Drosophila melanogaster: one gene and its partners. The protein of the gene in region 3 interacts with the protein of the main gene of each other region in a pairwise test. Each region holds a gene or a part of one and is shown on either strand. Other genes may lie near its edges.

The links.
Region 1: the proteins of CG8191 (region 3) and CG7778 interact in a two-hybrid assay, tested with the Drosophila melanogaster proteins (one large-scale study listed by BioGRID).
Region 2: the proteins of CG8191 (region 3) and CG13747 interact in a two-hybrid assay, tested with the Drosophila melanogaster proteins (one large-scale study listed by BioGRID).
Region 4: the proteins of CG8191 (region 3) and kra interact in a two-hybrid assay, tested with the Drosophila melanogaster proteins (one large-scale study listed by BioGRID).

Annotation. Positions count from the first base shown.
Region 1 is NT_033779.5:8,344,628-8,351,629, forward strand, and holds CG7778 (uncharacterized protein), read left to right. Parts: upstream 1-1,992; 5' UTR 1,993-2,177; coding exon 2,178-2,238; intron 2,239-4,447; coding exon 4,448-4,984; intron 4,985-5,116; coding exon 5,117-5,328; 3' UTR 5,329-6,485; downstream 6,486-7,002.
Region 2 is NT_033778.4:9,015,967-9,019,563, reverse strand, and holds CG13747 (uncharacterized protein), read right to left. Parts: upstream 1,750-3,597; 5' UTR 1,598-1,749; coding exon 1,339-1,597; intron 1,275-1,338; coding exon 1,189-1,274; intron 1,067-1,188; coding exon 916-1,066; intron 863-915; coding exon 690-862; 3' UTR 532-689; downstream 1-531. Other genes in the region: CG8170 (uncharacterized protein), read left to right, coding at 16-131; CG13744 (uncharacterized protein), read left to right, coding at 2,885-2,954, 3,013-3,317, 3,569-3,597.
Region 3 is NC_004354.4:15,730,598-15,734,169, reverse strand, and holds CG8191 (uncharacterized protein), read right to left. Parts: upstream 1,993-3,572; 5' UTR 1,980-1,992; coding exon 942-1,979; 3' UTR 929-941; coding exon of another isoform or gene 617-928; 3' UTR 507-616; downstream 1-506. Other genes in the region: CG12379 (uncharacterized protein), read left to right, coding at 247-459, 617-928; HUWE1 (HECT, UBA and WWE domain containing E3 ubiquitin protein ligase 1), read right to left, coding at 3,023-3,125, 3,203-3,393, 3,468-3,572.
Region 4 is NT_033777.3:5,595,089-5,602,855, reverse strand, and holds kra (krasavietz), read left to right. Parts: upstream 1-1,719; 5' UTR 1,720-1,841; intron 1,842-2,284; exon of another isoform or gene 2,285-2,818; intron 2,819-3,282; exon of another isoform or gene 3,283-3,491; 5' UTR 3,492-3,502; coding exon 3,503-3,740; intron 3,741-3,811; coding exon 3,812-3,912; intron 3,913-4,078; exon of another isoform or gene 4,079-4,218; intron 4,219-4,289; exon of another isoform or gene 4,290-4,433; intron 4,434-4,513; coding exon 4,514-4,652; intron 4,653-4,698; exon of another isoform or gene 4,699-4,841; intron 4,842-4,918; coding exon 4,919-5,084; intron 5,085-5,116; exon of another isoform or gene 5,117-5,260; intron 5,261-5,340; coding exon 5,341-5,584; intron 5,585-5,652; coding exon 5,653-5,995; intron 5,996-6,024; exon of another isoform or gene 6,025-6,159; intron 6,160-6,197; exon of another isoform or gene 6,198-6,330; intron 6,331-6,346; exon of another isoform or gene 6,347-6,496; intron 6,497-6,515; exon of another isoform or gene 6,516-6,655; intron 6,656-6,733; coding exon 6,734-6,771; 3' UTR 6,772-7,492; downstream 7,493-7,767. Other genes in the region: SecS (Sec synthetase), read right to left, coding at 1-942, 994-1,123, 1,187-1,300. UniProt on the Drosophila melanogaster protein: May be involved in memory formation.

The DNA of each region.
Region 1 (7,002 bases), on a different chromosome or scaffold from region 3:
TTCATTCAAGTTGCAACCGTATCGCAATCAAATCAATTAGTCGCTGGCGATAAGAGTGATGACGAGGTATACCGTATTCGGTATGAGTCGTGTGCTCCATGACTTCCATGACTTCATGCGACCCGAAAAAAGTCTGATAATACTGTTTGATACAGCGATCAACTAACTGGGCAACTGGCCAAAGCGTTTAGGCCGATAAGCGTTAGGAAGTCGAGTGGCAATTGCTGCCTAAAGCTTTTACCAGATTTATGGTATTATTATTTCGCGGCCCGGAATTAAGTAAAGTTCTTAATAAAGCGATGAGGAAACGCGACCGACAACCGGGCAGCAGCACTTTAAGGAAACTTGCTCTAAACGGCTAAAATGCAATTGCCAAATTTGTTAGCCTGATGCGGACAATGTGTGATATATATATATAACTTCTCGATTTGTGGGCTCGCTTTTGGGGGAATTTTAAAACACTTCCCCGTTTTATTTTCGTCAGCTTCCGGGACGGTAAAGTACCTTGTGTATGACGATCATGCCCAAAAGCCAGCGATTCGAAAAGCCCGGCTTTCAAGCGATTCTCGAAGAGAATCAACACAGAGAATTCGCATGAGAAAGAGCATCAATATCGCATTTAGCACTCTACGTGATATCGTCGACACTTTGAAAGATATATGCAACTTTTCCCATCGACTTTTTGTAACCGGGGAAGTTATGGTTTTTATCACCCGTCTGCGCTTTTCAGACGATGCGTCAGTTAAGCCAGCCGGCACTAAACAGATTCACTCGTCATTTGGCACGAACTGCGGCCGGTTAATGATGAGTTATTTGCATTTGGCCAAGATACACGATCTACGAAATGCAACCGTTAATCTTCAGGGCCGAGTGTTATTTAAAAATATAATAAATTATGAATAAATTATGTTTTGGGGGTATTGTCAATTACTTGGCTACACCATTACTCTCAAAGTTCTCAATTTAAATTTGCTACATTAGTGATTTAGGCAAATTAAAATGTGAAATGAAAACATTGATACCGAATGTTTACAATACACATTCTTCTATTATCGAAGCCTTAATTTTAAAAATAAATAAAAACAAAAGGAGAACAACAAACAAGACTCCACACCTTACAAAAGTTCGGCTTATCAGTTGACCTTGCGCCCAGTCTTTAGGCATTTTTTTGTTTCTGGGTCACCAGGCGAATTGAATTAAGTTGCGAGCCAAAGCGACCTTGGGGGCTTACTCGACTGGAAAATTTCGTTAAGCTATTGCGAATCGGAGGTTCTAAGCCCGCAAAAATAGCGCAGGTGCCAATAGAGTGAGCCAATATAGGGGCCACAAAGAAATCTCTGTTAATTGCTCGGCTCTTTCTGATTCGAATTTGTTTGCTTTTCGTGTTCTGATATTGAATAATAATCATGGGACAACCATGATAACCATTCAAAAGTGACGAATATTATGTAAATGCGTGAGCGATTTTAAGTTGAAGCGAGTTTTCAGTTGGTTTAATCTCGGGATTACGATTAACAATTAGCTGACTAACAATTCGCTGCTTAATTATCGAGGAAGAGCAAACTTCTGAGGGTCTGAAATAAAATGCAATAAAAAGGGTGTGAGGAATTGTACTGAAAAGTTCTGAACATTTGCATGACGGGAAAAGCCGAAGATCCGTAGTTTTTATCCCGGAAGAACCCATTTCACCTATTTAAGAGAACGAGAACAACCAAGCCAGTGGAGTTAAGAGCATTGGAGCTGGCTCTCTTGGCGATCAATTAATTTGGTGCTCGTTTGGTATGCATTATAAATTAATTTGTTATCAATATAGAAAACCGGTAAACTTGCCTTACGCCACGCTCTTCATCTGTCGCCCCCTCTCGCTCTGTCGGCCACATGCCGTCCCGCTCTGGCAGTCACTCTCTTACGCATCGAAGCCACTGACGTCGCAGTAGCAGCGCAGTCCGCTTTTAAAACTCTATAAAAAGTCTCAAACAAATCACAAGATTTTCAGTTAAATTTCAGAATTCGCAAACTGCGGTCGCCTTGATATGAAAAATTAATTAAATTTCAATAAACGAGAAGCGCGAAAAACCAAACGCAAACGGTCCAATTAAACTAGCATAAATACTATACACTAAACAATTATCTAGAAATATATATAGAATATATTTATTTCGAAATAACCAAATACCATGTTCCCCAAAAGTCACATCGTTTTGGCCAGCTCTTTGCTGTTGTTAATCGCCCTGCCAGGTAAAAACAAAAAAAAACAAGCATTTTGGGTATTTGCGGCTATTAGAATATCGTGAAAAGTGTCGTGATAACTTTGATGTGCATTATTTTGCCCAAAACGGTCTAAATCATGGGCATATATCTGATATCAGATATCAGATACCAGATAACGCCAGAAGGAATCATGCGATCTGATAAACATATCGTGAGGATTTTATAGCTGCGCTATAAATACACGTTCGGTGTCTCAAGTGTTGCTATTGCACAGATACAGATACATTTGCAGATACATTTACAGATTGATGTATGCAGTTGCCAAAAAAAAAAAAACCAACGAAATGTATTCAGAATTCAAGATCACGATCATTTGGCCATAATATCTTGCATATCAAGCAGTGACATTAAAAAAGCTCAATTTATTTGTTATTATTCAACTGTCATAAATAATGCAAAAATTGTTTTTTTTTCCATTCAACCAGTAATTTTGTGTGTTGCGGAAATGTCATCCAAGCAGCCAGCTCCCACCCTTCGATTTCATTATATGTGTATAGCATTATCATTGGGGCGGCCCTCTCTAATTTATGCCTCAGATGAAAAGGAAAAGTCAGTCGGGGAAATTGTGAATAACGAACAAATATTAGTTGACATTGAAACGGGCTGGCAGCTGCTAATTGAAAATGTTATAGTTACACTTAACACATTTCGCAAAAGGCGGCCCGAAATGGAAAAACTCGTCTGGCCATTAGCACCACTCAGAAAATAACCGAACCAAACCTGAATTTATAATACGTTTTCACGATCTTTTGACGCAATTGCAAATGATTTCATTTCATTTGTGTTTTTTTTTTTCTTGATTCGAGAAGAGTAACGTATATTATATACCAAAATCCACTTCAAACTTGTTTGTTTTCTTCATTAAACGGGATAAGAAATCGGTAAATCGTCTAGAACGACCTTTGACTTGAGAATTTTAAATGGCTTTTCAACTACTTTTCAAAACAGCATTTGCATCACGGGGTGTTTTATGGATTTACCCAAGTAAATAATAACCCAACCAGTTGCACCCTTGTTTAAGGGGAAAAAAATCACCGAGTTGCACCTTTTTATTATGTGGACATTATAATAACAATATTAATGAGAGAGAGTTAAAGGTGTACAAAAAAATTTAAAATGGCAGTGGCGCTTATCACGTGCTTTTAAACCCCAACAATGTTGTCGTTCGGCTGGAGAATTTAAGACCCTGCCTTCAGATCCCCAAAACTAGCCATCAATCACAATGATTTATGATAAATTTCCAACAATAAATCAACACAGGCCAGGCAGGGATGTATTGAACCATTTGATTGTGACGATTTAACGAAATTATTTTAAATATTATTAAAGTCTGCTGCAGTTACTCACTTAGCAAGAACTTACCCTTTCGGCACGAGTTGTGATATGAGATATCATGTTATCAATATCATATGGAAGGCCCGTCAAGAGGAGATCAACTTCCATGTCGGATTATCATATGACTCATTTGTGGTACTCAGTACTCCACTAATATTTGGATTTTATGGAGGGTAGCCATCTCCGCTGATAAGGCAATTAATGCAATTACGCCAGTGTTGCCACGCCGATAGGTGACTCTATTTACCTGTTGGCACCTGGCAAATATTTACCATTTGCTGCGATGACGATAACATGCAAATGGAATCGATTCGCTGGTGAAGAGCGCCCATATAAAACTAGATAAAAAAAAAAACAGCTACTTGCGCTAGATCAAAGGCTATGGAAAAGCACATACAACGTAATACTAAAGAATGGGCAAATAATACGGCAAATACTTGGGATTTAAATTGATTTATGGTGCTCACATGTTCTTTATTCTTATTGTCATTTATCTTGTTTCTGTTTGCCAAAGCTGTAAATTGAGCACTTTTAAGTTATATGTAGATATCTACGCGTCCAATAAAATGTGTGCGAAAAATGGAATAGCACTGGTTTATACGCCATAAAAATGTATAAAATTTAATCTGCGATGATAGTTGAAGAGGTGTATATATATATAATAAATACTCTGCTGCTTCATAAAATATATACATACATATTTGCATAAGAATATCTATTTAGTCCACTTAAAAATCGTAAACAAGCCTGGCACTCTAAATTAGTTCGATTTATTTGATTTAGATTGATAAGCAGAAAAACAATGACTTTATTAAGGTTTAATGGTTTCTTTAAATTGCAGTAATTCGCGCCGATCTCATGTGCTATGTGTGCGATAATTGTGCCCAGCTACCGAAGGATGCACCCCTGCTGGCGTGCAATGAGGATTTCTTTAATCCCGGCGGCAGCACAGAAGCCTCCACGGTGACCACCACCGAAGCGAGCACCACTACGACGCAGGAGACTACAACAACACCGGAAACAACCACTTTGATTGTGACAAGTGTCCAAACGGATTCACCCACAACGGAGTCCACGACGACGACAGTGGAAACCACCACCAGCGATCCGACCACCGAGAGCACCCAGAGCACTGAAAGCACCGAGGCTCCGATACCCACGCCGGGAACCGCCGGACCCGTCGAAACGACCACCGGAGTGCCCACGCCACCCGCTGAGGATCTGTCCGCCATGTCGGTGGCCTTGAACACCACCCGTTTGGTGCCAGTGAATAAGGACGAGGGGACCACAACGCCCACGTCATCGCTGGCAATCAGGCAACGCAGGGCGGTGATCGATACCGACTACACCTACCACTGCTATTCCGTTCAGGTTTCAGGTGAGTCTGCATAAATGATATCCTTCAGAATAGATCATTGTATTCAAAATGGTTAAATAGATCCTTTTGCGTAGATTCTATAGAAATCTAAAAGAAATTATTAATCTTTTTATCTTTCATCTGAAATTCTAGTGAATGGCACAATGTCGACGGATCGCGGCTGCTCCCGGGTGAGCACCATGGAAGGTGTTTGCGAGCAGCTAAAGATTCAGAACAAAAACACGGAGCTGGCCAACTGCAATCCGTGCAGTATGAACGCCTGTAACGGCAGCTCGGCGCTCCAGAGCTCCATTCTGGCCACCCTGCTCCTGGCCATCGTGGCATTCGCCCTGCAGCGCAACTAGAGACACGATCATCATCCATTACCCGGTGCTTTAGTCTAGTATTCCTCGTTTCTTTAAGGCGAACTCACACACTCATCAGTCCGCGCTCATAGTTAAGTGATTCGAAAAGTCGAAAATCGAAAATGTAAATTTAAGATATGCACAAAACCGAAAATCGAAATATATACAATCGTATTTGTATACAAACTTAATCTAACCAAATGTAACGCTCCAGGCGACTTAATAAATAATGTGTAATTATTAGAACGTTCGTTTTATTTGAGCTCAACTGCAATTGTCAGTGATTAGTAATTTGAAAAAAAGTGATTTATGACATCACTCTGCGGCACAGATAATAAACTCAAATATCCTAAACTTTATAACACTTTCGGTTAATATCTTTAGAAGAATTTTTTATGGCTCTACTTTTATATTGTGGAAGATAAATGGAGCTTTAAAAGTACAGCGCGATCACATCCTGTCAATATAATGAATGCTATATACATACACTCCATGCAACAATAAATTGTAGACAACTTTAAAAGTCTCTAAACTCTGAAGCTTAATGTCGAGATTTGAAATTTAAAATTATGGTTAGACGACAAAATGTTTGTAGATTTCTAAATAGAGAAGGGGAGGGAGTTCCCAATACCTTACCAATGCCAATGTCACGTATACGCCTAGTGGTACGATTTCATTTACTGAGCAAACATAGTATGCTAAAAAACGAGGCGGTGGCATACTTTTAGGCCATTTATGCTAAACAAATTTGCTCAAGACAAGCCCAAAGACAAAATCAACAAGGAAATCAAACACAAAAGAAACAATGCTTTATCATTGATTAGATAAGATTTCATTAAACAATTTCGGGACTTTGGGAAACACTAAACGCAATAAATATGCTAGCACGCGCTTATCAATAAAATGATTTTATAGCGCCAAATAAATACCACTAAAAAGTGCGCGAATAACTCAACAAAACCATTTAAAGTTTTCCAAAAAAAGTATCTAATCGGCTTATCTCGAATTTTAACCAATTATAGCAATATTAAAACTGACCTGCACGTTATACAAATTGATAAAATCCGAAATCCATTTAGACTTGGCGACTCCTTTCAGAATGTTGTCAATAGATTATGAACTGCATGCCCACACTATTGTATAGATTAGACTAACTTATCAGGTGTAATTGAATGAAAATCAATAAATCATGTTTAAGTAATTTCTACGTAGTTCAACAGCTAAATAGAAAAGTTAATAAAGGTCCAATGTCCAAAGAAACCATGATTTTGGTGCTCATCTATTAGGCAGCTGTCCAAAAATGTATGAATCATGATAAATAAATGTACATAATACTGTTTATTTAACCACGCTAGAAAGCAATGAATCATACTAAATAAATGAATTAAATGGCATTTGGCTGCACTGATATTGCAAGATTATTTATCGATATTCTTTTGGCAACGGGAACGGCCAACAGAAAGTACAAATACTTACTTGATTTACACTCATAAAAAAAATGTATTTAAAAGCAGTGTACATTTTTCCTGAATGTATTTTTCGGAAAAAGTTTTTTATATTAACGTGATATTTATTTATCGTAGTAAATACAAATAAATAGATATTGTTATTTAGATGTTGCTGTTTGCAATCGGAGCTCTTTTTTCCAAGTGCCATATACGTACAACTTTTCTA
Region 2 (3,597 bases), on a different chromosome or scaffold from region 3:
ATTGCTATCCTTTAGGTGTGGTCTCTGCTGGTTACTCCTGCGCGTCCCGCGGTCAGCCGGGAATCTATCACAGCGTCAGCAAGACCGTGGACTGGGTATCCTACGTCGTCGGACTCACGATGAACATCTAATTTATTCTCATCGCAATCGCAATCGTATCGCATCCGCATTCGCATTTGCACCTGCCTGCTAAGTGGGCCACAGATTGTTTTGTACATAACTCACTTCATTCTGCTCCTTGCTCCGCTTTCGAACCACGCCGCCTAATTTATGGTTACACAAGAAATACAATTTAAATTAAGAGACAAATTAGCGCAGTACAAGTTAGCAGTTAGGATTGGCAGTGCGTATCTGAGAGATAGATACACACGTGTGCGATATCTGTATCTATTTGTATCTGCAAGCACCCTAAGCCTTAAATTAATTATAACTGATAATTACGGTTTAATTTACTTAGTCATATGCGCTGTTATGTAATTTTAAAACTATTTATGAACTCCATTTCGTGTGTAAATAAATTATACAAATATTGAAATGAATTCGAGTTGTTTATTTATAGTACTTTTTTAGTAATAGTATTATAGTTTTATTAATAGTACAAGCAAAGTCCAAATGATATATTTTTCTAATTTTTTGAATTCGTTGCTGTTGGTGTTGCAGTCTGGGTCTGGAAATGGTTAATGTGCATGTTACTTTTGCATCGGCAGACGCGGCACATAGACATGTTGAAAGGGAACCCCAGCCGCAGTCCATCCATGCTCCGCATCCTGGTAGTAGAGTCCGCCCATTCCGCCATCCTTCGACAGCTGCTCCATCACGCGAAATAGGGTGAAGACCTCGTGATAGATCTTATAAAATATAACTAAAGCATACGTAAATAATTGGGATCTCCGGGTCAAGATATAGTCGGCTTACCCAGCACAAGGTTGAACACCAGAAGACACATTAGAAAGCTCGACAGGTCAATGAACAGACCTGCGGTCGCGTAGAAAACCCCCAAGTAAAGACCAAAGCCAAAAATAACGCCATGATAGATCAGCCAAGGATAAATTAGGCAGCTTGAGTCCTGTCGAGGACATATATAATTATAGTGAAGCTTTAAATTGAATGAAAGTACATATATAACGTTTGCCAATCAACTGATTCAAACTGAATTAGAATGCAATAATATCCACTTGTTTTACTTACCCGGGCAATACCAATCAGCAGCAGCAGACTGACGCCCATGTTGATCAGCGACAGTCCGTACACAATGGAGCTAAAGATGGTCAACACTGTGGCCAAGTAATCATCATTAGGTAATTCCAAGGTTAGTGCTTAAGATTAGGGAGTACTTACAATTGATCAGTAGCTGCTGTTCTGCGACCGGGACCAAGTTCATGGGCCACTGGTTTAGCAGCAGCTCGATGTCCGGACGAAAGTGGATGGTCAGCGCCGAGCTGCCCAAGATGACGGTGGAGATGATCACGCCCAGCCAGCCGAGGATAATGACGTTGTATTTGAGGTTCTGGCATTGCACGTATGAGATGGTGTGGCTGGTGGCCATCGCCACGGCGGTTGACTTTCCACCAGGATGCGATGGATCGTTGGGGGCCATGTTACCGTTTGTTGTTTTCCAACTGAACGTGCTTTCTGCCGGAATCTGCTGTTTGGGGTCTGTTTGTGTTTGCAACAGAACAAACAACGATGTACTGAAGGCTAGACGAGTGAAAACCAGGTGACAGGACTGGGATCAGGGCCTGCTTCTTTAACACCAACAAATATATTTGTATCTCAATCAAGCATGCGGCGTCATTTTAGCCGGTTTAGAGACATAGAAGAATGATAAATGAGTTTTTACTTTCTTGGGTCTTAAAATCCAATTTCACCTATCCACCCAATGGCACTAATATAGGCGACACTTAAGAACCCTATTTAATATGCTAATCCGGCCAGGTGGCGACAAGTTAGAAAGTTACTTAAATGAATGTGTGGCCCCCATTCTCCCTTGTCTAGATGGCCTAACCCCAAAGAGCACTCCGCTTGCCGCCAGTGAAATGAGCTGCTCCCATTCCGGCGAGAGATGGCAGCGGTTCTTGCAATTATGTCGCATAAAATAATTACAATAGACTGGGAGAACATTTCCTGCGCCGCTGGCGGCGTCATCAGCATTTCGTAATAATTAGTAGTGATGATGAAGAAGATCGGCCAGCACATATGAGGCAGAAGCAGCAGCAGCAGCAGCAACTTAAGACAGCAGTCACTTCAAACTGTCGGCAGCAGCAGCAAGAGAAGTCCGAACCAGAACCAAGATGAACCTGTTGCTGCGTCTTTCTTGGCTAATGGCGTGAAGTTAGTTTGCGTTTGGCCAGCGGCGCGTATGGTTGTGGTTTATTCCCCGGAAGAATACCAGAACACTTCTCAGAAATCGGAATCGAAAGATGTGGTGTGAAATGCAGGTGCGTGGCTGCTGGGAAAAGGAAAACTGAACGGAAAACTGTGTCATCGAGTCAGTCGGCACAGAATTGGCATGGTTCCCATTATGATTGTTATATAAAAATCCATTAGCCCCGAACAGCGACCCATTTGCAAGCGACCCCGAAACTTGTTCGCCTATCAAGGACACAGATCTCTTTTGCGCCGAGCAGCTCCCCGAGAGCTCCGTGAGTCACCCAGACAGGCCCATAAACAGCACCGACTTCTAGTAAAAGTGGAGCAGCAATAATAGGAAACGTAAGAAGAAAACGGCAGCGCAGAGCCAGCTTAAAAGTGAATAAGAAACTGTCATGCTTTCATTGGCAACAAAAGCGTTATAGTCCATTCTGATGAGTGTTTCAGTTTGAGTGTTATCCTCCTCGGGGAGAAGCGAAGTGCGAATAGTGACCTCGAATAATCCGACGCCAAGATGCAGTTGCTATTGTGGCTGTGCCTGTGCCTCCTCCTGCTCATCTGTCAGTCTAGTCCCAGTCAAGCCAGTGAGTACATATGCACGCGCGCTAGGAACTCCACGTCTAGTCACCCAATCCCGCCCAGATATTCTGAACACCCTACTGGGGGTGCCCGCGGAATGCGTCCACCAGAGCGGCGTATGGCCCTGCAAGCTGAGCTTCTCCTGCTGGCTCCAAGGCGGCAAGCACGCAAAGGGATGTGGCAGCAACAAGTGGCTCTTCAGTTGCTGCGTCGCCGAGACACAGCATCCGCACCAGCAGCAGCATCACTCCCCCTCCTCGCCGCTGGCCAACCTGGTGGACTATGGAAAGCTGAAGTTGAACCTCAACAGCCTGCCCAAGCGGATCATGCTGCGCCGACGTGACGACAACGAGCTGCTCAATCCCAAGGTGGGTCTGCTGTGCTGCGGCAATTGAGCCATTGCGACCGCAGAGCGGGATAATTGAGCAATTTCATTTGACAGACGGGCAGGATTTTCCTAATTAGAGCTAGAATGGAGATGCTACTTATTTTCAGTGGTTTTCCATTTCGGTGTACGACTTTCATATGTAAAGTTGAGTGCCTAAATGTACATATAGACATTAAATGGCATTGACTCATGTTACATGTACCATACTTAATATACTTAACATTTTCCCAGCCCGAGTGTGGAGTTCCTCGGACGGCGCA
Region 3 (3,572 bases):
AAGCCCCAGAGTCCAGGTGGACTTCATTAATAACTTAACTTAATATTTCACAGTAGAATTTATATTAACAATTGGTTTTAATGTCTGTGAGTTACAGCAAATTTTATCAGCACCAGTGACAGCTATAGTAACTTTTTAAAATCGTGACTCGCGACTAGTTTTGAAATGAAAGGAGGTGCCATCTCTAAGTTTAAATGAATTTCACACTTTTCGATTGAGTTAAATAATATCAACAAAATCGAGGATATGTCCGCCCTAAAAAAATTTTATAAAATCAGCGCAGGTGTGAGAAGAGGCGCACTACTTACCAGTTCCCGAAGAACACAAATTGATGCTTTAAATAGTCCACAATTGCAGTTGCAAGTGCATCACTTTGCAACCAAAACACAAACAGCTGTTTTTAGCAGCAGCAACAACTACACGTGCATTTGCCGCAGTATACACTGCAGTAAGCCAGTGGTATGTTTGGAAATCAGTTGTAAATACAAATAAACTACCCAATTGATATTAAATAATGTTATTTACATTTGTAATTTAAAATATTATAAATGGAATGCAATATTTAAAATTATGTATAACAAAAAAGTTAAGTATAATTATTTTGCTCTGCTCCCAGGACGATGCGGACAAGACGGTGGCCACGAATAGCATTCCTCTGGCGAAACTGGAGGCCAAGATGCAGCTGATCTACACCTGCAAGGTGTGCCAGACCCGGAACATGAAGACCATTTCGAAGCTGGCATACCAACGCGGCGTTGTTATCGTGACCTGCGAGGGCTGCTCCAATCACCACCTGATCGCCGACAATCTGAACTGGTTCACAGATCTGGACGGCAAGCGCAACATCGAGGAGATCCTGGCCGAGAAGGGCGAGAAGGTGGTTCGCCTGACCGATGGCAACTGCGAGTTTTTGCCGAAACATGATTAAACTCGTAGTGTAGTTAAGTGAAAACGAATGCCACTTTATTTAGCAGCTCCAGCAAATGTGTCCAGGAATTGGGGGGTAGTTGGGCACGCAGCTGCTGGGCGAACTGCCGGCGACATATGGATCCGGTGGCCAGCATCAGGTAGGTTATGTATGTGGCCTCGTTCACGGGCAGCTGCGAGACAGCCGTGACTGGTGCATCAGCGGTCAATTGCATCTCATCCAAGTCTAGGTAGGGCAGGTGGCGATTCCAATGGTCGATTAGGTAGGCAATAAGGCTGCCGGCCAGACGTACATGCTCCATACTGGCCCAGAATCTCATCTCATTGGCGGATTGCGATACGAACAGAAAGATATTGTGCAGGAAGCCGGTGCAAGCGGTAGATCCGCCCTCCGATAAAGTGTCACAGATCATGTGGCGCATTAGGTAGCAATCCTTGTGAATTTCGCTGTCCTTTGGCTCCCTAAAAAGCTGCAGCCACACCTGGTACTCAATCAGCTCCATGGAGCGCTTTATTGCGGTCTGCATGTCCTCAAGGCTGGATAAGCGGCCAATCCGCTTGACTAGCCGTCGCATCTGCTGAAGATCGGGATTGATAAAATCGCTGGAAGAAAGCGCATCCGATTGGCGTATTGCCGACCAGTCCAAATCACCGATCTCACTCCACGCAGGCTGAATCTCGGCCAACGTTCGATGCGAAAGATGAAGCAGTGGTGCATGAGTTTCTCCCTTTCGTGTGTTCACGATGGTGGTACACAGCTCACGAATACACTTCCGTCGATCCACCAATGCAGAGCAGCTAGCGAAGAAGCCACGGCAATCGCAGCGTTCGGCCAGCGATTGCCCGAAGCGATCATAGCACTCGAACAGGTACAGGTGAGCCTTTAGCAGGGATTCCACAACGGATTGGCTCAGTCGCAGATGGCGGTGCTCGGAGTGCATCTCCTCCTGACAATCGTGCAGCCATGTGAGTAGCTTGAGACAGTGCGGCGCCACATCTTCAAGCACGCTGCTCGTGGATAGGCTCAGTTCTTTTCGGATAAACAAATCCATACGGACTGCAGCTGTCAGCTGTCCGAAAATTCGATGTCACAATCGATAATGTCGATCGGTTTGCTGTGCATGAGATATCGATCTGTCGTTGCCCGTTGCGATAGAATCGAATTTCAAATTGAAAGGCGCCCAAATTAAATGAGATCGACATTAAGACCTTATATATGTATTTATTTATATATATGGCGTACCCATCCTTTCCAGCCGCATTTATAATGAGCATGTGAAGTGATTTCTGAAAATTTATTGTGATAAATGAGCTTATTCTTTATTCCACATTCTTTAAGTTACATCTGCGTCTCATTATTTCAAAGGTAAACATAAAATGCATTAACATAAGGACTTATCTCTTACATCAAAATACTTTAATCCATTTAAATATTTTTTCTGTTGCTTCCCTTTATCTTCGGTACGTACATTCACTTAAGTAAACAAGTAACCCAAGTGTGTAATCTGTTTATGTGCATTTGCGATCTATAAACTACGTTTAATCCTTTTCTATTCGGTTTCGCGTTTGGGTAAATGAAAATGTGTCAGTGTATTTTTTTTCTTTATATAAATCCTTTTCTTTTGATAAAAATGTGCAAAACGACAGAGATAGATTCCAAAAAATTAATAAAAAAAAAGATGAGTTGCGCAGAGAATTTTAAATCGAATATACTTTTCGCGTCTGTATCAGTTTTATATTTTATATTTTTTTTTGTTAGGTTTCCTTAGTTTTCTTCCGTTTTCTTTTGAAAATTTAAGAAAATATATATTGTATATATATATAGGCGCGAAAATTAATAATTAATTCAACATTTTTATATATACTATATAACTATATGTACTGTTTATGTATGCAGTTTCTGTTGCCGCTATCGCAAATTTGCAGTGGCTGTTCTGTTCTCTTCTGTTCTGTTCAATTCAAATCAATTATGCATTTCTCATCGTTGCACCCGTGTATTTGAGGGCGTTGTAGGAATAGTGTTGCGTCCATGGTTTGTTGGTTACTGGTGGCTCTGCCGGCTGGTGCTTGAAGCTGCCGTCACAGTTGTCGCACCTTAGGCGAAGCCAAAGCCCTCGGAGCACTCGTGTATGGCCTTCAGCAGGCAGCTCCGCAGCTTGTCGTATGACTTGTACATGGGCAGATCCAGTTGGTTGAAGCTGCAATCAGAGATGGGTAAGTTAATACGGTCTATGACATTGCAAACAATTCATGCGACTTGTGGATCCCTACTCACCAGGTGTGTGCACAGGGCAAGCGATCAGTGGATCGATCGTCCCGATGGATTTGGAACTTTTGAATCCCGTTCATGCCCTCCAGCGAGCCGAAGCCCTGCAGCGGCACTTTCGATGTGCCAGTGACGAATTGCAGGAACTTGGCGCGGTCCGCTTGGTCAAAGCTACGCAGTGCACGCCAGAACCATTGAATCTAATGAATGGGTAAAAAATACATGGTTTAGAGAGGGATGGAGGATGGAGGAAGATGCACAATCATGGTCTCACCTGCGCCGATTTAGAGGTGTACTTGTGGTACTCGGTGTTCGCCTTTAGATCTTCAATGTCAATATCCGGCAGGCCGGATATGAGAAGTTCCAGTTCCTGTTCGTT
Region 4 (7,767 bases), on a different chromosome or scaffold from region 3:
GTAGCATGGAGCCAAGCTTGGTGATGCTCTTCATCTGATCCCCAGCCAAAGTGGCCAATGTTATGGCCAAGGATATGGAGTTAAACCTGCTGTCTATAACAATCTCTCCGCGTGGCTCTGCAAATTTCCTAAGGTTCTCTCTCAGGTAATTGAAGTTCTCGCCCCGCTGATCGAAAAGCAATCGAAAGCCATTGCGCCCAAGTGAGAGTAGCGTCATCAAGACATCTAGTGACTGGGAACCACTAGCTCTCCCAGCATAAGTACTGGCCACATCGTGGAGCACACTCTCATTGAAGCTGGCCACAATGGCACTACCCACTGGCACCAGCAAATTCTTGTCGCTGCTCTGAACGAAGTAATCAATGCGTCCGACTCGATTGGCGCACTCCAACTGATTAACGATTTCCTTTGCCTGCAATCCATAGGCATTATTGACCAGATGGGGAATCTGCCATTGTTTGGACAACTTGGATACTTCGGCAATGTCATCGCTGTTTCGTGGAGCAAAACAACTGGTGGTAGTGTACAGGCAGAGGATGCTATCCACTCCCAATGACTTTATCTTTTCTCGGAATAAATCTACGTTCGTGTTCAGGGACTCTCCTTTAATAAGGCAGGGGATGACTACCGGCACCAAGCCCGTTGCTGTGATGGCCTTGAAGCAGGACTTCTGATCGATGCGGGACCAGAGCACATACCGCGCCCCGGGTCGCCGCTTGCGAAGACTCTGCAGGCACAAAGTCAATGTCATGCCTGTACACATTGGCACCAAAAAGCAGCCAGCACAGCTGGGCAGTCCGATTCCCCGAATAAGGTCCAGAATCAGGGCGTTTGTGAGACGAGCGAGCAGCGTAGAGCCAGCTGCCTTGGGTTGTGCCTCTAGTAAGTCTCCAGATCTGCCGATACCATGACCGAAGTTGTAGTGACGGCGAGCCACGAGTTCTGAATGACAAATTCATTACGGGGGATATCGCCTCCTGATCCCTTACTTACTGCAGGCTATACGCGCCTCCCGCTCTCCTAAACCGACCTTATGTGGATAGTTATTGCTGTCCAAGGAAGCCAGCATGTGCACCAGCTCCTCGATACGTTCATCGGACCAACCATTTTTCGGAAGCTTTCGCTTGAAAAGAAGAATTATCCATGGAGTTATCAATTAATTTGGGTTTAATTTCGGTTTGATTACCTTTTCGAGCAGCTCCTTAAAACTGCGCTGCTTACTGCGTTGCGCAGCCAGTCCCAGTTGCAAATAGTTGTCCGGCACTAGTTTCTCTGGTATATTGACCTGCTCAAAGTTCATTTGGCTTTTGGATAATGTAAATATAAACTAAAAGTAAACAATGTCTATCGCCGCTTTCAGGTGCGCAAAAAAAAAACAGTTAAATTTTCTTACTGAGCAAGTAAGGCGGCGATGCCATATTGTTTAAATAGCTGACAAATGGACACCTTTCGATTTTGTTTAAAGTGGAGGAAAAATATATAATATATACAAAGGCGTATTTTCGAAAATAAACTCCTCGCAACGCTACTAAAATGGACTTAACTTAATTTGTTGAATTTGTTAAGGTTAAATATGAATTTTGTTAATGCAAACATGACTTTTGTGGAATCTTTGATTCCGTTAAATGTCCGGCAGCGCTGCACCATTTTCAGGTCCGGTTAGTGGGGCCAGCCAACAGCTTCACCAAAATGTTGCCACCTTTTGGACACCTTAGTGAGCTCTGTACCATTGCGTACGAAGCAGGCCACGGTCATACCGCAAGTCATCCAGAAGAAGCAGCCCAACAGCTACGCAAAAAGTTACTTTTATTCGCAGCAAAACAGATTTTTTTGTTTTAATCGTAAGTATAGGAGTGAAAAATAGCGCTAGAGTAGACCTAAGTACACAGAAAGACAAATAGGGCGAGTAAAATCGCGGTCCTGGTCATTTCTCTGGCCTTGACCAATCCTTTGTCTGCGCTTTCGTTGGAAAAGGGGTTATGTACGAACTGCGTGCGTACCTAAGGCCAGATTAGTCATCGGGCAGTCATATATTCATGCAAAAAATCATTTGGTGGCCGTCGGCCTTTGTTCGACTGTACCTTGCTCATTATTTAATAAGCGCGACAGCAATATACACACTTTGAACCCCCATCCCACATTTTTTCTCACCGTTTCCCCCTAATTTTCGTTTTCCCTGTGCCCATCATTCCGCTTTCGCCATGTCAGTGTATCGCTTCAAAATGGCGCCGAACCACATGTCTTCGTTCTCGGCTCGTCCGCTTCGTTCGTGCGCTCGTGTGTCGTCTCATTCGCTCTCCGAATTTCGTTTAACAAAGTGGTGCGAGCAGAGGGGCGCTGGATTCGAGGCAAACAACACATATACCTAGTAACCGATTGTGATAGCTGTTAAAAATAGAATTCCGGACGTAGTCTGAGCAAAATTGTTAACGTTTATTTTGAAGGCATAAAAGTAAATTCCGTTACAAAAAATTATATTTTCTATTTGCTCTCCCCTTTTCTTTGTTGTTGTGTGTGTGCGTGCGTGTCAATTTTACCGTGCAAAAGCTCGCTCATAAGAAAAGAGAGGTAAGAAAAGAAGGGATCTGCCATCTGTCTCTTTGTTTTTCGTCGACTCGAGTGAGAAGCATTAACCAGCCAGCGCTTCGTGAGGTTAAATTAAATTACATATTCTCGCACGTTCGTTAGTTGTGAAAAAGCAACAGGCACACACACACACACATACACACTACACTCGCACACGACTGATTTCAATTGATTGCAAGGACACGCGGAAGCGGCAAACACAGGGCCAGACTTAATATCCTTGGGTGAAAGCGTAAGTTGCCGTTCCTTATATGTACCAATGTGTACTTGATAGCCTAGATAATTTAATTTTTGCGTTTTCGCTGCTATGACAATTTTCCCGGCCAACTAGCACACAGTCATCGGCGCGTTTTTATGTGCACTACATGCACAATGACCTCATTTCCCCAGCGCGCTACCTAACACAAGTAACCACGTCAAAATTTCACTTTATTCTGCGTTTCTATGTCGATTTCTTGGTCGCCTCACCTCTCAATTCTTTTTATTTCTTTTGTCGACATTATCAAACTGTAAAATGCACAGTGGGTATGTGTGTGTGAAAAAGAGAGATAATTAAAAAGAGATGTGAAGTGTGCCCGTTCTCCGCTCTTGAATGTGTGTGTTTAAAGCACATGTACGCTGGCATTTTTAGGTTAAGGCTTTCTTAGGCTCAGTTTTCACTAGAGTTTCCACTTAAACGCCGGTCATAGGTGAAAATGTTGTAGTTTGATTATGAGCGCAACGAGAATACATATACAGGGAACGGTTTTCCACCGCTTGGAGACCACCTTAGTCATCTTACACTAAAATTAAGATAAATCTAAAAATGAATCTAGTGGCCATGATAATTTAGTCTGGTCAGAAATAAAAACTTACAGGGGCAAACCAAAACCGCTTCCATCTCTGATCCACATTTACCTTTGCAGCAATTTATTGTATGAGTCAAAAAACTGAAAGACCAGTGCTATCGGGTCAACGCATCAAGACCAGAAAAAGAGATGAAAGAGAAAAATATGACCCAACGGGATTCCGTGATGCGGTCATTGCTGGTCTCGAAAAAACTGAAGGCGACCTGGAACAAATCTCTAAATATCTAGACAGCGCGGGCAACAAGCTCGACTATCGTCGCTACGGTGAAGTTCTCTTTGACATATTGATTGCAGGAGGTCTACTAGGTAAGTTTTCCGCTGCAAGTAATGTGTTTAGTCTCTTCACTGACCCTTTTCCATCCTCGTTTCAATTGCAGTGCCTGGTGGTTCTATATCTCAGGATGGCGAAAAGCCGCGCACAAGCTACTGCATCTTCGATGCGCCCGAGAGCATGGAGAGCATGCGCAACCATGAGCAGGTTTGTAATCTTTTAGCAGGTCATACTTAAATTATGATTATGAGTAAACGAAAATTGGTTTGATTGCAACACAAGTTGAGCTCTTGTTGTTTTCCAAGCTAAAACGTTTATTTACTACTAAATGATTTTCTTCGGATCCACTTAAAAGTATGAAATTCGTGAAGTGGCTGCATATCATTAGAGCTGACTATAAAGTTTCAAAAATGTAATCGGTGTCAAGAATATGCAATAACAATCAACACATTTACTTGTCTTTGGTTTGTCCTAAACACTAACGTTCTGAAGATTTCTTATGTGTCAACAACTACTCTTTATTCAACACTATATATATATACTATATGCATGCAACCACTGCGAAGGTCACGCTATTGAATCAAAGTGCATATTATTAGAACCGGTTATGCATCTCAACAACTCAATCGGTGTCAAAATATGCAAAATAAAAAGCCACATTTTACTTGTCTTTATTTTGTAAAATTACTACCGCCAGCAATCTAAAGATTTCTAATGTTGCAACAACAAATACAAAAGCCTCCTGCGTGAGAACACAGTAAAATTTCACCATCCGCTAACAGGGGCAATCACACTTTACCTTTTCCAGGTATTTGTCAAGCTCATCAGACGGTACAAGTACCTTGAGAAAATGTTCGAAGAGGAGATGGGAAAGGTTCTATTATTCGTAAAGGGCTTTACTCCTAGTGAACGCATCAAGCTTGCGCGTATGACAGCGCTCTGGTTAGGTAAGTCTTAACATTTATGTTCCTGTTCCTCCTGTGCATTGCTTGCGTCTGCCCATTCGGTCTTTCAATTAGTTGTTTCGATAAACACTTGTTCAACTTGCAGCTGAGGGGCTAAAGTAATCCTTCACTTGGTATACTGACTCTTGGATGAACTAACCACATCTAAGGGCCACGAGCCCAAGGACAGGATTGCTAGCCGGCCGTCTAAACTTGTTTTGCGAAAACATTTGACTAACCCTATATTTAACCCTATTTTTGATCAACAGTCAACGGTTCTGTACCGCCAAATGTTTTACTGGTACTAAACAACGAGCACCTAATCAAGGATGGCATTGCATTGGAGTTTCTACTAGAGCTGTTCCAGACGTTCAAGCAAGAGAAGGGCATTGCATATCTGATTCAGGCGCTTAAGAAGGGTGGACTGGAAAGCAAGTAAGTTTTTAGTTGTGATTTGTTTTTAGCCCCGGAATGTTCTCAGGAAGATGACTCAATGATCCAGTTGTGCATCTTTAATTGATATTCCTAGAGTAAGAAAGTTCGACGGAGTTTTACCCAATTCGCAAATGACCTTTCGCTTCATTTGGGTGCTGATTTAATTTCGTACACCTCAATACGTCATTTAAGGTTGATTATTGAATGCGTTAACTTAAATTATTAATAATGGTTCCACTTTTTCACGTTTTTCCAGACTTATGGACTTTTTCCCACCGAACAAACGTACTGAGGAATATTTTAAACAAGTTTTTCTTGACAAAGAACTTAACGAGATCGTCAAGCTACATAAGGCTCAGGCTAGCCAGGAGGCGAAGCGTGAGTTGCAGCAGGCGCTCATCGATGATATCAACGATGAGAAGCCATATAATGAGATAACCTCAGACATTAAGGACTTCTCGCAGCGCACCAACATTCCCGATCATGAAATAATTGTTATTGTAAGTCGATGCGTAAATAATCCAACTGGATGATTTCCTTACTAAATCTCATGTATGATCTTTACCAGATTTGGTCCACCATCATGTCATTGGGCGAATGGAACAAGAAGGAGGAGCTGGTTACCGATCAGGCTGTTCGTCATCTGAAGAACTACTGCCCACTGTTGCAGGCTTTCGCCTCGACCGACCGTTCGGAATTGGCCCTAATCTTGAAGGTGCAGGAATTCTGCTACGAGAACATGAACTTCATGAAGGCCTTCCAGAAAATCATTTTGTTGTTCTACAAGACCGAGGTCCTGTCCGAGGAGATCATCTTGCGCTGGTACAAGGAGGGCCACTCAAACAAGGGCAAAATGCATTTCCTTGAACAAATGCGAAAGTTTGTCGAATGGCTTCAGTCAGCCGAAGAAGGTTAGTATGTTTTGATAAATGTTATCAGCGTGCAATTTTTGAGAATGGTCTTGTCTTAAATAGCTTGATTCTGGTACGTAATTGCAAGAGAAATTTGGGTTTTTTGCTTGCCTCGTTGATTTCCATTCACTGAACAACGTAGGCCAATGAAAACCTGGACAATATAAATATTCAAATTTTGCTTCCTTCGAAACTTTACACAGTGCACTTTTTGAGAATGGTCTTGTCCTGGATGACATTTTCATTGTACAAAATTGCAAGAGCATTTGAGTTTTTGCTTGCCTTGTTGCCTCACAAAATCCGAGCATCAAAGGCCAATGAAAACTTGGACACAAATAGCTGACTTCACCGAGCATGCTTCTTACCAAGCTTTTAAAGTGTTCCCATTATTAGGAACCAGTTTTAAAGGGTTCATGTACAGTATGCAAAAGCGAAAGAATGATTGGGTGCCCATATAACCCAATGCCGTGGTTAATTTGGCCAATAATCGTTTGGACAGCTGCATTTGTCCTAGTCCGCATGCACAATCCCCTCATAAAAGCTCCGAATGGTTGCTTCATTCGATTGAGCCAAGCGGGGAGTTGTGCCAAAGCATTTGAATGGTTGGGTGTCCAGATAACTTTCCATAGTTAAATTTGGCCAATAATCATTTGGACAGCATAACCGGAGCTGCACATCTTTTCAGTTTGTACCAATTGAAGCCCCCATACTAACATTTTGTATTCTATTCTCTTTCAGAATCCGAATCTGAGGACGAACAAAAGAATGGCGAGTAAGAACTTGGTTGATGGCTAAATGAGGATGAACACAAACGGAGCCGCCCTTTAGCATCCCCATCCAAAAATTCGAAACCAGCACCTGCAACAGCCAGTCGAACTATATATAAAACTCACCCCTATGAATTAATGTCATTTTGAAAACTCCACCTATATAAAACTCAAAAATTCCAACAAATAAAGGAGAGAGTAAAAAAAACATGCTAGAAACTAAACGTTTGCAGTCCAGTCTGATATCATTCACGAATCTACACTTAGTTCCCGTTTGCAATATACCGGCAAACCCATACTATATATGTTAATAAAAGTTTGAAGTGGAAACAGCAGCACGCTCCAAATTAATAGAGAACATCTGACCGCCAATAACGTCGACTACTACGACCTGCAGTGAGGTAGCTGGAGTTCCGCGGAGTTGATGCAACAAATAAAAAACCAAAAGAGATACCACAGAGATGCTTTGTGTGAATTCGGGGATGTGTTCCGTTTGCATGTTCGCATTATTCATCAATAAATTTTCCTCATATATGCGTTTAACAAGTAGTACTCACTCTCGAAGGATTTGCCACGGCGATGAAAGGAAATTAACAAGTTATATTTGAAAGATCAATATCATTTAGCAAAGTTTCGTCGAACAAAATCTATGGATTTACGAAATATAAGATACATGGACTTAGCACATGTATACGTATAAAACCATTAAACAACCCAAAGTATTTAACTGAAACGCTGAGAAAGCATTGTATTTAAATTTGATTGGCATATAGGGGCATATTTTTGTTTAACAAATTTAGTTGGCATTATGAGGGGTCTAACTTCAAATCAGTTTTTTAAGGTCTTAAAAAGATGTGGTCCGATTCTATATTTAAAAGTTTGACAAAAAACCAAATCCGAATGCTGGATCCCCATTTCTGCAACTTCGAATATTTTGTACGTTTATTGTTACAGACATGGCCAAATCTAGTCGTCATTCATTTGTGACAAATATTACAAGTTTTA